2 linked regions of the Coturnix japonica genome follow. The protein of the gene in region 1 interacts with the protein of each later gene in a biochemical or structural test. Links are inferred from orthologs where the notes say so. Each region holds a gene or a part of one and is shown on either strand. Other genes may lie near its edges.

Region 1 (4,392 bases):
TCAAAATTGCAATCGTCAGGACCATAAACTCATACTATATGTATATAACAATATTAATCATGTATTTAAGCATTCAACAGGGGGGGAAAAAGAGGCATACACACACAGTCAATCAATTACTGTATCATTCTTACATTCTCAAAAAGGCATCTCATGTGTTTAACTTGTAATTCTCTATGGTTTCGATGAAAGAAGAGAGCAGTACAAACAAACCCTGAAAAACAAAACCTTTCAAGCAGCAGCTTTCAGTTGGTATCTCCCACTCTCCATCCAGTTTCTCAGGGAACCATCAGCCTCGCAGTGACAGTCTGGTTAGAAGCACGCAGCCAACGGGTACGTCATTTGCATGTGAAAATATTTTTAGAAGACACACATGAACGGCACATGTTCTCAGCCTGAGAGCAATCTGCCACCTATACACCCAGAATGTTATACACCCAAAGTTCAGAGTTAATTTACAGACAGTTATTCTATTTGTTCTTTTGAAATCACAAAATATCAGATCTATATCTGTGTATATCAGATCTTACACAGCATGCTAAACTGTATCTGAAATTTCTATTCTTCCTGTGTTAACTAGAGACAGTTGAAGAAGGTGAAGATGGAAATGAATAAAACCAGAAATAAGCCACATGCTCATTGCGCATTGTTAGTTAATTAAAACTAAAGCAAATTCAGACAGACACGACATGGAAACAATATCCGAATAAACAGCAAATCCAACTAGATCTCAGTCATTCCCAGTCCACATCTGGAACATCCAAACTGATTCTGGTGGTTCTGGAGCTTGCATCACACAGTAACTATTACTTCAGAGCTGCTTTGTTCAGGTCGAGCAAAATTATATTGCATTGCAAACTGAAAATCTCTACTTCTTCCCTCTGCCAACACTCAAACTCTTCCCCACACATATCACAGAATCACACATATCACAGAATGACCCGGGTTGGAAGGGACCTCAAGGATCATGTAGTTCCAACCCCCCTGCCTGGCAGGGCCACCAAACATACACATTTACTAGATCAGGTTGCCCAGGGCCCCGTCCAACCTGGCCTTGAACACCTCCAAGGACGGGGCATCCACAACCTCCCTGGGCAGCCTGTTCCAGGGCCTAACCACTCTTCTAGTTAAGAACTTCCCCCTAACATCCAACCTAAATCTTCCCTCTTTCAACTTAAAACCATTTCCCCTTGTCCTGTTGTCCTTCCCAACATATGGGAAATCCCCTCGTTATACGAACAAACTCAGCTATGAAGCTCTTTCAAAGTCAATCCAGACTAACAAGTGGGGGAGGAAAAAGTCACCTTAATCCTGAAGCACACACACAAGCCACGAGCTTTAACTAGATGATGCTGAATGCAATCACAGGTGAGGGCCACCCCGACCAGAGCTCTGCGCTACCCAAGACACAAGAGCCGCTCCAAACACAACCGCCCGGCACCAAGCGCTGTGAGGCGGCAGCGCCACCGCTGCCAGCCCCGCCCACCGCGAAGAGAAGGAGGAGAAAGAAGGGGAGGAAGGGGAAGAAGGGGCAGGAGGGAAGCGGGGAGGAGAGCTGCCTCCGCCGGGAGCGGCATGGCGGACGGAAGAGGTGGAACGTCAGCGCCGCAGGAGGCGGTCGGTGAGTAGCGGAGTGCTGCGGGTTCCGTGCGCCGGGATAGCGGGCAGATGGCGGCTCTGAGCGTTCCTAAATGCCGACTATTTCATGTCAGGAGCTGCGTGCTGCTTTGTTTGGGTGATGCTGGGTGGGACGCCTACGCAGCGAGACGGCAGTGAGTGCACGTGTGTCTGTAGGCGCAGGTTTCCCAGGTTGATGTGATAATTAACGGTATATATTCTTTCTCCTGCAGCCCTCACGTAGTGCGTGGATCGCTCTCGATGTGGACTGACCAGGCCAGGCCTCCCCGAGGCGGCCGAGCACCCTCGGGTGCTGAGGATAGGCCGTGCCCCCTTAGGTCGTGTTTGTACCTAAATCGACTCCTCCTAGGAGGGCTCAGTGATGAGTCAGTTACACTTCAGCCCCTCTTTGCACCCCATTAAAGCGTTCAGTGGGAGAAATCTGGTTGGAGGAGAAACTTCTAGAGCAGCACAGCCATCACAGCGCGGGCTGCTTTATCTTGTGACATCAGGGAGCATATAAACAAGAGTGGGAATGGCTGTGGGTGGGTAGTGACAGGACAAGGGGAAATGATTTTAAACTGAGGCAGGGGAGGTTCGGGTTAGATATTAGGAGGAAATTGTTCACACAGAGGGTGGTGATGCACTGGAACAGGTTGCCCAAGGAGGCTGTGGATGCCCCATCCCTGGAGGCATTCAAGGCCAGGCTGGATGTGGCTCTGGGCAGCCTGGTCTGGTGGTTGGTGACCCTGCACATAGCAGGGGATTGAAACTGGATTCACTGCGGTTCTTTTCAACCCAGGCTGTTCTGATTCTATGATCAGTTTTTATCTTCCTTCAGCCTGCGTTAGGCTTTTCTGCAGGAAAGTGGTGCCTGTGTCCCCACACACAGCCTGTGTGACATCAGCATGTCCTGTTGGTACTGTGCTTTGTTACAGTTGTGATGTGAATATTCATAGTTGTCGTCTCAGGTAAAGAAAGATGACTTGTGTAACAAACACATCTAACACTGCAGGGCTTTTTTTTTCCCCCGGACTTCAGTTTATTTTCCTCCTCTTTCTTCTTTACCTTCTTGATGTAGGAGAGAAGTCAGTGGCTTACAGGAGCTTCATTTTAAGTGTCCCTTTAACCTTTAAGCACTGAAATTTGCTCCTGATATCATCACTGCTCTGTCACCTGCAGTTTGTAACTGCTTTTTGGTTTTGTTGTACTGTTTCCCCAGATACTGCTCCTACTTTCAAGGTTTCTTTTGCTGTAGAAATCCTTGACCTACCTTTTCCATGTTCTCTTTTTTCTGCCCTGTTACCTCCACAGCTTACCAGATCTTATAGACCAGTCTGACACTCTAGAACAGCAGGAGAAACTCCTGTGTTTTGCTGGATTTCCAGCTGTTTTGTGCTCAGTTAGCTTGTGGGAAGGCTGATGAGAGGGTGAGCTGACAGAGAACGTGGCAGAGGGGAAAAGCTGAGAAAAGAGAGATATCCCTATAGACAACACTGAGCCATGAGATCAACTTAGCTGTCCAAGGAGCCATAACATTGCCTGATAATTGCACCACGGCCACAGCACAGTTTGCATTACATTTCTGAAGTACCCAGGCAGTTACAATACAGACAGGCTGCTTGGTACTGGTCTGCACATCTATGACCAGCAGGCCAATGTTCTCTACTCTTTTTTCTTTGCGTGTGTCTGAAATAAAAGGTCAATTAATAACTTTGTTATTAGTCTTTATTCTGTTCATCAGTGCAGTCAATGGCATGGGCTCTGGTAGCATAGTACTGCTGCTGGGTGGTGATACCTGTGGGGAGCATTGTATGTCTCAAAGCAGTACTGCTCCTTTAAAAAAGGAGAGCAGAAGTAACAGGGAACATAAAGAGAATAACCAGGGGAAAAAAACATGCATTCTTTTTGAGAAGAATGGCAAAATAAACAGTGATTTGCAAAGAAGCAAATATTGTTTATCAAAACAAGGCATTCTTAAAAAGGAATTATCTTTAGTTAGTGTTGCAAACCTTTTTGAGTGTATGCAGATGATTTGTACTTACATGGTAAGAAACTGCCTGGAGTTCCAGGTGTGTGATCTATGTATTTCATTTAGTCTTCAGGCAAAGTGTTTGAATAAAAGCCCTCTGAACAAGCTAGAGATGTTTTCTCATTAACGATGGTATGGAATGTACAGTTAGCATCTATTTGAGTGTGTTTGACACAAGCACAACTTCATTTGTTGTAGAAAGAAATCATGTTCCCATCTGGAATAAGTATATGGTAATAGAGAATTGAGAGACTGAGGTAGTGCTATTGCTGCTGAGTGGGAAAAGGATTGGAGTGCTTGGCTTTCATTTATAGTCCATTAAACCTGTGCACTTAAAGCCTGATCAGTTACTGTTTGCCTGCAGTGAGCCTGGGATCCCATTGTTTGTAGACCTTCAAGCCCTACTTGAAAACTAACCATGATCTCTTAAGGCATGTCTGGGTTGTTGCTTCTGTCCTCACCTTTTACTGTACCCTCTGGTTTTATAAATTATGTTATACCATCTCTGCATGCTGCTGGACACATTGCAGGTGTCAGTAGGACATGCCATCTTCTCATTTTGAACCCTACAGGTGGTCGTAGAGGATTGATTTGAAATGAGTTGTTACATTTTATAGACCTCACTTTTTTTGTTGTTACTAACAGTATTGACCTATAGCATCCTGTCCTGTTCTGTAGAGTCTCTCCTTGCCCGCTGTTAGGGGTGGTTTGGAATCAAACTGGTATTTACAGCTATCCAAGAC
Region 2 (4,586 bases), about 110 Mb from region 1:
GGCTCTATGTCCAGGTGGAGGCCGGTAACGAGCGGTGTCCCTCAAGGGTCTGTCTTGGGACCGGTGCTCTTTAACATCTTTATTAATGACATCGATGAGGGAATGGAGTGCACCCTCAGCAGGTTTGCTGATGACACCAAGCTGAGTGGTGCAGTCGATACGGTGGAGGGAACGGATGCCATTCAGAGGGACCTTGACAGGCTGGAAAGCTGGGCTCGGGTGAACCTAATGAGGTTCAACACGGCAAAGTGCAAGGTTTTGCACTTGGGCTGGAAGAACCCCAGGCACCTGTACAGGCTGGGAGGAGTGGTCCTTGAGAGCAGCTCGGCAGAGAAGGACCTGGGGGTCCTGATGGACGAGAGACTCAACATGAGCCAGCAGTGCGCTCTGGCAGCCTGGAAAGCAAATGGGATCCTGGGCTCCATCAGGAGAGGGGTGGTCAGCAGGGAAAGGGAGGTGATTGTCCCTCTCTACTCTGCTCTTGTGAGGCCCCATCTGGAGTACTGTGTCCAGGTGTGGAGCCCTCAGTACAAAAAAGACATGGAGATTTTGGAAAGGGTCCAGAGGAGGGCCACGAAGATGATCAGGGGGCTGGAGCACCTCCCCTATGAGGACAGGCTGAGGGAGTTGGGTTTGTTCAGCCTGGAGAAGGTTGCAGGGTGACCTCATTGCAGCCTTTCAATACCTGAAGGGAACTTACTCCCAGGAGGGGAGTAAACTCTTCGAAAGGGCTGACAATGGCAGGACACGGGGAAATGGTTTTAAGTTGAAAGAGGGAAGATTTAGGTTGGATGTTAGGGGAAAGTTCTTTACTAGGAGAGTGGTTAGGCCCTGGAACAGGCTGCCCAGGGAGGTTGTGGATGCCCCGTCCTTGGAGGTGTTCAAGACCAGGTTGGACGGGGCCCTGGGCAACCTGATCTAGTAAAGGTGTATGTTTGGTGGCCCTGCCAGGCAGGGGGGTTGGAACTACATGATCCTTGAGGTCCCTTCCAACCCGGGTCATTCTGTGATTCTGTGATCTCCACTGGTGCTGATTTTCTGGGTGTGGCATGTAGGCTCTAGTTCATCACTGGTGAAAATGTGTAGCTAATGATGCTTTTGTTGAAAAACAGTGTTTTGTAGCTGAGAATTTCCTCTGTCAAATGGAGTTATTGTGTTCTTTGTATCTGTTGTAGTGTCCATAGAAATAAAAAGGAGGCCTTACTTTCAGAGCAAGCTACATACAACACACATGATTTCTCAGCAACTCTGTGGTTCTGGAACTCCGCTGACTTAGGCACTATTGGGGATATCGCTGAAAAGGAAAAACAGTTATGTTTGTTCTGGCTGGGTTTGGAGAACAGGAGAAAAACAGTGCAGCATGTATTACTAAGGGGTGGGGGTAGGGGACACTTCTACATCTTAATTGTAGAAGTGTTGTGCCCAAGACTAACATCTTAATGTGGCCTTTTCCAGTAGCTTTAGCTATTGGTTATTTGGGAAGTGTAACAACTTCATCAAAACCCAAGTCACTTCAGTACTGGAAGAACCAACACTGTCTGGCTTTGAAATGCTAATCTAGCTTGGTTGTGGTAAGTGAGCTATGGGGAGAACAGTAATGACACTGAATACTCAATTAGGTACCTCAAGAAATAATACCTGCACACGGTGATTATAAAGATGATTACTAATGCAGATTAAGTATTATAGTTCGTCTTTTTGATGGTGACCATTTGTTTTAATTGACAGCTCTTAACACTGGGAAAGCAGAAAAATGGCATCGGAAGACATTGCTAAGCTTGCAGAATCACTTGCCAAAACCAAAGTGGGTGGAGGACAGTTGAGCTTCAAAGGCCAGGGCCTTAAACTCAACACGGCTGAAGATGGTAAGAGAAAATATACATTTAGATCAACATTTCTGCCATGTGAAAAAACAGCATGTTTTTCAGGGATATAATGTGGTATACTGTCTACCTCTTTTACTGACTGTAGTGATGCTTTTTATATGCCTTATTAATAGTGCAAAACCACTGAAATTTTAGGAAAGAGTCTGGGTGTGTCAGTGACAGGAGAGAGCCTGCAGCCTGCACCTTTGCCTTGAATAAGAGTATTCCAGAGTACAATTGTTCCACTCTGCCACGTTTAGTAAATGGGCATCTATTTATGCCAGTCAGTGGGAACTTATTCCTCTTGATGTGGTGCCCGTTGCCATCATATTTTAGGCCTTTTTGTCTTTGTTGATGCCTGCATTCCTAAACTATGTGAATCAAACTTATATAGTCATCCTCATATTTGTCAAGGTAATAATAGAAGTAAGTCATGAAAGAAGAGAGAGGATGATGAATGGAGAGCATTCTCTCCAGTGATCTGACACTGTAGCTGTGTTCTCCATTGCTGTTTCAGGATTGTCTCAGATAGTGTTACTCAGATGTTTTGGCTAACTGTAGAGTGTAGCAAATACTTCTTTCTCAGTGTGTTACTGTGATATCTAAGATGGTAGTAACAAGTCCCAACAAGACTGTATTTTTTTCCAGCTGAAGAAGTGATCAAACAAATTGAGGAATTTGATGGCCTGGAAGCATTGCGTCTGGAAGGCAACACCGTGGGTGTGGAGGCAGCAAAGGTTATTGCCAAAGCCTTGGAGAAGAAGCCAGAGCTCAAGGTGAGACCTTCAAGCAGATGGTGGGGGCAGAAAAAGTTTTGCAGAAACACTGAAGGCCTGTCTGTGCTCTTCTTTCTGGAACCTGCCTTGAGTTAGCCCCAAAGCTTACTTTGTTCTTCCAGTGGTAAGAATAACCATATGAAAATATAGCAGAACTTGGAGGCTTTTAGACAGTGGGAGGAGCACTTCCTGTATACTTAACCGTTCCTGTTCAAAAGGCTTCCAGTCTTAAAGCTGGGAGACTGTGCAAGAAAGAGCATCTCTGTGTAAGCAACATCTATAGACAAAGACCTGTGGCCACAAAACAAGTTTTAATGGCAAAGCTGAAGAATGATCAGATCTTCTGCAAGTGATGTTTCATACAGTACCTGAATAATAAAGGAAATGATGGAGGATATGTGCCAGAAGGTTTTTCTGTGTCCAAGCCATGTTTCCCTAGTTCTCTTCTAGCCTAATGTTAGAAGGATGCTGTGCTTCTAGAAGCACTGCTCTTTGCAAGAGAGGAATATGAAACATTGATCCACCCACTTGAGGCTTTTCAAGTCAATTCAGATCGTTGAGCTCCATACCTTAGTAAAATATATGTTCCTGTCCTTCAGTTTCCTACTGTTTTTTCTGTTGGTAGTTTTCTCAGCAGAAAAGAATTCCAGCTCAAGCAACAATTCTTATATACTGCTATTTACAATATGCATTTCAGTGGCTTAGCATCCTTCCAAGAGAGCAGCTGTAGTATTAGTTGTCACAGTTCCTTAGCACAATCAAATGGAGAGGCCACAGCAGACTATATTAAGCTGTCCATACTAATGTAATGCATCTTGTATGTGTAAATTTCTGTACAACTGTGTCCTAAATATTTTTCATGGCTCGTATCTGCATGTTTCTTATTTTAGAGGTGTCATTGGAGTGACATGTTTACTGGGAGGCTAAGATCTGAGATCCCTCCTGCTTTGGTAAGTAAAAATTTGATCTGAGACTTCCAACTAATATAACTTATTTTCTCACCTGTCATACTTTTTGTGGGAGTGTATTTCTGAGACTCAGTGAGTTTTTCTCTATACTGTTAACACTAAGTGTCTCAGAATAAGTAATGTGTTTTTAGCTCCTTCTGTATGAGCTGGAGAAGTGTTGATAAAAGGCCAAATGCAGTTCTGTATTAGTGAAGAAGCTTGTCCCTTGGGAAGACATCTCCATGATCCAAAAGGTAGTATGGGAACTGAGCTTTCAAACAAAAGCATATGGCTTTTTCTTCCAATAGCACTGCAGGGCTCCCCCTTGAGCAAGAACATGTTAAACTGGAAGAAATTCACAAAATATTTCTTTGAACAGTGTAGAGAGGAAACACAAGTTGAAAAGATGTATGTTTAACCAAATAAGATGGGATAGTTCTTGGTGACTTCCTTGCAGTTATCTTTAGCTTGATTTGCATAACTCCTGCTCTGGCTTTAGCTATGAAGTTATATGTCTCCGTGCAACTTTGCATCCTCAAAATGGAATTTTTCTGCAGCATCACTGTCAGTAACAGTCAGACCACTCCTTGCCCTCACCCCTGTCACCTGTTTCCCTGCAGATCTCTTTGGGGGATGCACTCATCACTGCTGGAGCCCAGCTGGTGGAGCTGGACCTGAGTGACAATGCCTTTGGGCCAGATGGCGTGCGTGGCTTTGAGGCGTTGCTGAAGAGCCCTGCCTGTTACACCCTGCAGGAACTCAAGCTCAATAACTGTGGCATGGGCATTGGTGGTGGCAAGGTAAAGGTGATCTCCTTGTTGGGGATGAGATCAGAGCCAGTACTTGATTTCAGACTTCCCTACACAGAATCACAGAATGACTGGGGTTGGAAGGGGTCTTTGGTGGTCATCTAGCCCAACTTTCCTGCTCAAAGCAACCAGACCAGGTTGCTCAGAGCTGTATCTAGTCAGGTTTTGAGTATCTCAAAAGATGAAGAC

The links.
Region 2: of the proteins of USPL1 (region 1) and RANGAP1, one has a biochemical effect on the other in vitro, tested with the Homo sapiens proteins (2 studies listed by BioGRID). The link is inferred for Coturnix japonica from reciprocal best matches to the Homo sapiens genes USPL1 and RANGAP1.

The regions. Positions count from the first base shown.
Region 1 is NC_029516.1:156,630,932-156,635,323, reverse strand, and holds the start of USPL1 (SUMO-specific isopeptidase USPL1), read left to right. Parts: upstream 1-1,519; 5' UTR 1,520-1,621; intron 1,622-2,361; exon of another isoform or gene 2,362-4,392. UniProt on the Homo sapiens protein: SUMO-specific isopeptidase involved in protein desumoylation. Specifically binds SUMO proteins with a higher affinity for SUMO2 and SUMO3 which it cleaves more efficiently. Also able to process full-length SUMO proteins to their mature forms.
Region 2 is NC_029516.1:45,361,193-45,365,778, forward strand, and holds the start of RANGAP1 (ran GTPase-activating protein 1), read left to right. Parts: upstream 1-1,731; 5' UTR 1,732-1,753; coding exon 1,754-1,865; intron 1,866-2,513; coding exon 2,514-2,641; intron 2,642-3,531; coding exon 3,532-3,591; intron 3,592-4,208; coding exon 4,209-4,388; intron 4,389-4,586. UniProt on the Homo sapiens protein: GTPase activator for RAN. Converts cytoplasmic GTP-bound RAN to GDP-bound RAN, which is essential for RAN-mediated nuclear import and export. Mediates dissociation of cargo from nuclear export complexes containing XPO1, RAN and RANBP2 after nuclear export.